Linked DNA regions of Caenorhabditis elegans. The protein of the gene in region 2 interacts with the protein of the main gene of each other region in a pairwise test. Each region holds a gene or a part of one and is shown on either strand. Other genes may lie near its edges.

What was found.
Region 1: the proteins of rabi-1 (region 2) and rpy-1 interact in a two-hybrid assay, tested with the Caenorhabditis elegans proteins (2 studies listed by BioGRID).

What each region holds. Positions count from the first base shown.
Region 1 is NC_003280.10:6,703,722-6,707,477, reverse strand, and holds the start of rpy-1 (43 kDa receptor-associated protein of the synapse homolog), read left to right. Parts: upstream 1-1,834; 5' UTR 1,835-1,934; intron 1,935-1,980; 5' UTR 1,981-1,984; coding exon 1,985-2,074; intron 2,075-2,205; coding exon 2,206-2,282; intron 2,283-2,331; coding exon 2,332-2,597; intron 2,598-2,642; coding exon 2,643-2,790; intron 2,791-2,832; coding exon 2,833-2,995; intron 2,996-3,047; coding exon 3,048-3,164; intron 3,165-3,310; coding exon 3,311-3,376; intron 3,377-3,606; coding exon 3,607-3,735; intron 3,736-3,756.
Region 2 is NC_003280.10:8,583,059-8,586,814, forward strand, and holds the start of rabi-1 (GDP/GTP exchange factor Sec2 N-terminal domain-containing protein), read right to left. Parts: upstream 2,029-3,756; 5' UTR 1,993-2,028; coding exon 1,922-1,992; intron 1,538-1,921; coding exon 1,333-1,537; intron 1,154-1,332; coding exon 494-1,153; intron 215-493; coding exon 47-214; 3' UTR 1-46.

The DNA of each region.
Region 1 (3,756 bases), 1.9 Mb from region 2:
CAAAAGTTTTGCAATTAGGAAAAAAAGCTATTTCAAAATTGTGTTTTTTTTTAGAAAATTATTAATAACTCTCAATTTCAAATAGTTTTTTTTCTATTTCACGACATTCAATTTATAATTGAAGTTCAAATGTAGAGTTATTTTTTTGTAAATTAATCATGTTAGTGAAACATATTTTTTTCCAACTTACAATAAACCATGGCTCACTGTTCTTGTTGATCGAAATTTTTTTTTTCATTTTTAAAATTACGTCGATATGAAAATGTAGTGCTGAAAACATCAAGACTTATTTTGAAAATATATTTGGATTTCTAAAAATATTGTTTATTTAAAATACTTCAAGTGGGGCATCCAGAGGTGGAACTTTATTCCCTTAACATTTTATTGTCGAAACTGAAATTTTCCTGATTTATTTTTTCTAAATAATCCTTTTTCATCTTCATCCTTAAAAATATTTCTAATCTAATCGGTTCTTCTCATCGTTTTCTTCCACACAATTCAATGTGTCCCAACTCTTTACCCATCTCTTCACAAAAATGTCAATTTCTGTTCAATTTCCCATGGGAGTTCGATTTTCCGTTTCCCATCCTTTTCCAAACTCGGAGAGCTTGGGGCAACTCAAGAAAAAAAACATTTGGAATACGGATTCCTTAAGATGTGCATCAAAGTACTAGACCTCCTCTTCTTCTAGATCTACTTTCTTTTTCCCCGTATTCACTTCTTTTGTCCCAAATTTCTTTTCATTCCAAATTGGATTCAGTTCCCCTGAGAAGCTCGCCTGAGCCGGCGGGTCACATTAGAGAGTACTACTCTTCTTTTTTCCCGAAAATTTCAATTTGACAGAGTGATTTCAAATAGGGACTAGTACCGAAAAAACATTTTGGGCGGAGTTGTAAACGGTGAAAAAAGTTTAAAAGTTTGAATTTATCTTGAGTTCGGACTTCCTTTCGTTCTAAAAGTATATTGCACAAACACAGGTTTTTTTCGAACTCCAAAACTTGACTTCTAGTTGAAGTATATGTTTAGTTAGTTTTCTAATAAATATAGTTCATTCTAGGACTATTCCCATATTTCCTACCTGCCATTTTTCTTGCCTACAGCAATTTTTCAGTGTCGCTGGGAACTCTTGTATATGATATACATTTCTCCCATTTTAACTTTTTGTTGAAAGTTTCTTCTATGTCATGCCAGTAAACATGCGTGTAGGCAGATAGTTTATTTTGTGCAGTTTGCACTTTTGCGCTTGCTCTGATGTTTTTCTCTCAAATTGATTTTTATTCTATCCAATTGGCATTTTCATTTCTTATCTGTTTCCCATTATCTTCCACAAATTTCCCTCTCTTTTTTCGCCTCATTTTCCGTTTCCAATCCCATCATTTTTCGTTCATTTGCTCCCCACCAATTTTTCCTCAATCGTCTCATGACCTCAAATTGATGGATCACTTTCTCACCTATATCTCTAAATCTCCATGTCTATTCATACTATCTCATCTTCATCTCGAATATCAATCAAAAGTCATCCAAGAATTCTCGTCTCATGAAAATGTCAACACAAACAAAATGTGCTTGAGCTAATTGTTTTTTGTGGGGTGGAACTTTTTGTGCAAGAGCCTGAAATAGCTAAAGCATATAAAATCTACAGTAATCCCTTCATAATTGATCCTCTGGTACTCCATCATTATTGCATGCAGACTCAGAAATGGATTCTAAAACAATTATTCATCAATTGTCCTCTTCTTTTCTTTCTTTTATTTTTCACCATGCACATTTTTCTCTTTCTGCATCGAAAGATTTATAAAATAAAAACTTCAATAAAAATTTTCCTAATTTTCAGATGAGATAGGATTGATAATTTTTATTCGTATTTCACACACACGTAGAAAAAAGAAGAGCCATCACTAAAAACTACATGATTACTTGCCGCCGGTCTGTAGGTAAGATATATTGAGCATGAAGTTTGAATTATTGAATATTATTCAGGTCAATGGGTGTTTTTGTGTGTCGCGACAACATCAATCTCATCACGAATCATCGACGATCAATGGGACAGCGGCAAGCAAAGCAACACATGCAGGTTGGTAATAGTTTTGATATGGGGAATTTTTTTTTCGGAAACTAAAATTTATGCGAACTTCTGTGATGTTTTTTAAAATGTTTTATCATTCCTGTTTGGCATTCCCCAATTTTAAACATTTATTTCTGCAGGCTGGCGTCAAACTTTATCATCAACGACATTACGCACAGGCTATCAATAAATGGAGACAGTCTCTGAACAGGTTAAAGTAAGTCTTTCAGACGACTCCTCTTCTTTTCTATAACGTCCATTTTCAGCAATGCAGAAGACCGGTTTATCACTCTCGGATACCTTGCTCAAGCTCTTTGCGACCAGGGAGAATACGAAGGAATGCTTTCATATGCTCTATCACAAATGCAGTTGGCAACCGATCAAAACGATTCAGCAATGAAATGCGAGGCATTTTTGAATCTAGCAAAAGCCTATGAACGATTAGCAGATTTCACGAAAGCCCTCCAGTATGGCAAAGCATCGTTAGAACATCCTTCGATGGATCCCAGGACGCCTGGTTATGCACATTTAAGTAAGAATTTTCAATAGGTTCTAGACAAAACTGTGGCTATTTCAGCAATAGCACTTGCACACTTAGGAATGTCCCAGTTCCAACAGTGTCTGGAAAGTTTCGAGTCAGCAATGAATGTTGCCAATGAGACATCGGATAGGTTACTCGAATTGCAAATTTGTGTTGGTCTAGGATCTCTTTTTACTCTTTTGAGGTAACCGTACAGAAATGAAAAATAACACATTTTTATTTTCAGAGATATCACTAAAGCTCTGATATTTCTTCGAAATGCTCTCGCAATTGTTCAATCTGTTACTGTTGATGATGTTCATGCAAAGTATCGTTGTTTGATACTTTATCATTTATCAGTTGCTCTAAGGATGAAAGGAAGTCTGGTTGATGCCAAGGAAGCATGCGATGTAAGTTTTTATTTAAAGTTTAAGAACTTCAAAAAGTATTGAATGATTCCAGGAAGCTTCCCAGCTAGCTGTTGAGATGGGTAATCGAGCGATCCATGCAAGATGTATGTGCAGTTTAGCAGATATTTATAGAGAATTGGGAGAGAGTGAAGCCAAAGAGACTATCACTGTGAGTAATTTTAAATTCTCAGTTATTTCAGTAAAAAAACGTTATGCTTGAAAAGTTAATAATAACAACTAACTTTCATTAAAACTTGTATTAGAAATCAATGAGTTTTTTTTTTCTATTGTTAGATAATAAACTCTTTCTTACAGAAATCCTGGGCAAGATACGAAGATGCTTATCGTGTAATGCGCGGAGCAAATGATAAAATGGGCGAAGTAAGTGGCCAAAAAACCTTCAATTATTTATTGGTACAACCAAATACCTCATAAAACCAAAAGCTCACATCCAGGTCTCAATTTCTTTTCCCATTAAATAACTTTTACGACTTTCCCATAAATCTTGAAGCTTTGTGGTTGACACAATCTCACATAGAGATCAGACAACATGAGTATATTTCTGGGGAATTGTGAGAAAATAATTTTAATAAGTTCTGAGTGTTTTTCAGGTATTAGTGCTCTCGTCAATGGCAAAAAGTGCATCTGAAAGTCGATCTCATTACACTGGACAATGTGAATGTCAAGCTATTCAATTGAATAAAAAGTGTATTGAAATTGCAAATCAGATAGGGTGCAAGGTACAAAATCGATAGGATGAT
Region 2 (3,756 bases):
AGTGTGAAAGACCTGTAGTTTCAAATTATGGTAAAATACTATTAATTCAATGATGGCGTATGTTGGAACGCGGGACAAATCCTAGCCCCAGTTTGGCAAGTGACATGTTTTTCCGCAAGTTTACAACGTGAAAATATGAATCTCGAGGCCCGGGTTTGATCAAACCTTGGGACAAGTATCGGATACACGTGAAGAAGTCACAGACTGCGGCAATCTGTAAATCTTGAGTTAATTGAGAAATCAAGATTACGGTACCAGGTCTCGGCACGACTGAAAGTTTTGAAATTCAGGTTGCGAAAAAAAGTGTGCCTTTAACGAGTAAGGTAGTTTCTATTACGTTTTCTAAGTAAAGGGTTTCGAAAGAAAATAACGAATAGAATGGCAAAACTGTGAGAAGTGAAAACTACCGTACTCTTTAAAGGCGCGCACCTTTTTGGCAGTCTCAATTAAAATTATCAATCGTTCCGAGACCAAGAAAAGTGGAATAACTCACCCTATTCCTGGCAATTAACGAAACATAATGCCATTCTTGTTCCTCATCACCAGTTCTTACTCGATACGGACAAAACCTTGAAGCATTTGTTAATGCACAAATCCTTACAGATGGTTTCAGTTCATTTAATGGTTCAAGTTGAACACGATTCTCTCGAATTGCCTTCATTATTTCTTCTGATAACTCAGAGTTTTCGAATAGCATACATGGTTCAACTTCTTCAACGGTAACTCTATCAATAAATGGATGAGATGTCGTCGGATGTCCAGCTTCTCTCCAAAATTCAAATTCAGAAAAAAGAATTGGATCGATCTCTTCAACTGCATTTGCTTCTTTTTGTTCTCTATCTTCTGATGGTGTTAGTGTATATGTTGATGTAGATGGAAGTGATGAAGCTTTCTTTTTATCTGATACATTTGCAGCGTCTTTTTGTTTTTTTGATGATGAACTTGATCCATTGAATAGTTTTGATAAAGTTGATTTATGTTCTGGAGATGTTGTCTGCTTGAAATGGTTTTGACCCATTCCTGGAGCAGATATCAATTCTTTCAATGCACGTACTTCTGCTTGAAGAACTTCAACTTCAAGTCTTGATTCGGTTAGTAGTTTTTCTGCTTTCTCACGACGAGCTTCTGCTGTGTTTACCATTTTGTACGCCTCCTGTAAACTTGAAGATGTGATGGGAGTTTTGAGACTTTTTCATCGGTTTTCAATATCATTCTTATCTTTTTTACTTGGTCAACTTTCTAAAAATTTAAATTATCTTATGAAATTTTGAAAATCAAAATCGAGAATTTTTATAAGCTAATTTCTCAGGATCGGAGTTGTACTGGTCTTACCTGAAATAATTTTTCAGTAAGTTCTTGAACTTCTGCATCCACTGTCACTTGAATTTGTGTCATCTTTTTATCTTTTTCAGCAAGCGCCGTTCGTGTTGCTCTGAGCTCAGCCTGCATTCTCAAAAGCTCCTCAGCCCTAGGACTCATTAGCTCAGAGTCGGATGATGTCGAGGCAGATGATGATGTTGTGCTTCTGGCGGAGATTCTGAAAATTTAAGTTTGAAAGAGTTACTCGAATAATGTTTAGGGATGACAGCATTGTTGAGTTAGATTTGTATTGTTTTTGTAGGCAATTCAGTTGCCAGAGTCTAGAGATATCAAACATGGGTAAAAGTGAAAATGGTAGTGTTCCACAAAGAAAGGCAAGGCATTAACAATGAAAAGTTCGGCACTTCGTTCCGCAGATTCACGAAAATTACTCTTTAAGGAACCTATGAAACCGGAGAAGAAGAAGCACAGTTACATGTGGACTACTGTGGTCATAAAATACTATATAATGAATTATATTTCATTAAAAGAAATTACATAAAAGTGTATAATAAGAATCATTTACAAATTGTCAGTAAATTAATTAATATAAACATCTTACCTCACATTATCCTGGGGATCGACTGACAAATCGAGATGAATTGGGTTCAGAACAGAAATTGTATCAACCATTTTTGCATAATTTGTATTGCTTTGATAGTTTTAATTCTGAAATTAAAGTAAAGTATTAATGTATGTCAATGATAGAAAAGAGAAGATGTCTGTAGATGAAAAAGAAACGGAGATGTATGTTTTTTTCATTGATAACGTAATACAGATAGATTGAAGACAGGAAGAACGGGTTTTGGTGATGTAACGAAGGGGAATGAAAGTAAAAAAGGGAGGCGGGAAAGACTGGAAGAATAAGGTTCCTTTATAATCCCGAATGGATTATAAAGAAGACAAGATGTTGAGAAGAAGCATTGCGAAATGATTCTGAAATATCAGGGAATTCATGAAAAAAACTGGGAAAAAAGTCAGATGATTCAGAGAAAAAACACGACGAAGATGAGGATTGAACTTTGGGAAAGATAGAAAACAGGAAAAGAGAGAGAGAGAGAGAAGAGATGACACATGTGCTCACAGACAAAGATTCTTCTATGACCAGAGAGTAACAACAATAACACATAAACACAGAGATTGATTGGAGAGAAATTTTGAAGGGCAATTGAAGTTGCAAGATGTTCCTCAGAGCTTTAAAACGAATGGGGCATCGGATCATAATAATTTGATAATTTTAGATCTCGGCTAGAGACTCGAGCAGAATAATTTCATGCTATTCATTATTTGTTTTCGGAACCTTCATTTCTAAAACAGCTACAGTAAAGCTTATTCTAGTTAGGTATGTAACAAAAACATCTAGAGCATATCACATTTTGCAAGATGAATAAAAACCTGCAGCCTATACAAAATTGTCGTTTTATCGGCTCCGTTTTGAAAGCTCATGACATTGGTTTTTTGCTAGCAATCTGAACTCCATTTTAATTGACACCTGGATGCTTAACTTTTATATAGTAACCTTGAGAACCGTCAAAAAGTGGCGATTATTCAGTTTTCTGGAAGTCGAGGACAAAACCATAAACGATGATTTCCAATTTTCCAAAATCGAAAAACTAGATATAGAACATCAGTAAGCAATACACTGCCCTAAAAGTTCCAAGTTATCTCGATTAGAAAACATGAAAAGTGAACAAAAGGCTTGTCCTTCTACGCTTTTTTTACATGAAAAAAGTGCAAAACGTCCTTGGTTTTTCATCAAAAGGTTAGTTATACGACCACTAATTTCAAATAACCCTGTCCCAAAGAAGGAATGGAAAAAAAAGAAAAAGAAGTAAAATGAAGAGAAGAAAAAAGTTAGCTATTCATGAAGAAGCAGTTAGCGAATAGGAAAGAAAGGAGCCACCACACGGAAAAAAGAAGAAATTGAAATTTCGTGAGAAAAGTGTAATCAAAGAAGTAGAAGAAGTAGAAGAAGTTAGAAAAAAAACGAAACAAAAATAGAAGACTACAAATTTTTTGGAAAAAAAAACAAAAGAAGAATCGAAGTCACCTCGTAAAAAAATGTAGATCTCGTAAGAGCTGTCCGAAAGTACCACAAGATAATACTCCGAAGCTGAAAAAATGGTTACAGACAACGTTTTAAAATGTTTGACATTGTAGATATGTGAAAAGTACAAAATTGGCTTCAGTATAGACTTTTTGTTGACTTTGTGGAGCCAATGGAGCACGGGTTACATCGAATCATACTTGTCCAATCAAAAATTGGAACCTATTCCCATCAACTTTTCTTCCAAAAAGGAGACGAGTACAGCAAAACAGAACAACACGCAGTGTTTATTTTGCGGTTTCGGTTTTCTTCCATTTCTCCGTCTAGATCTCTCAACACTATGTGTGTCT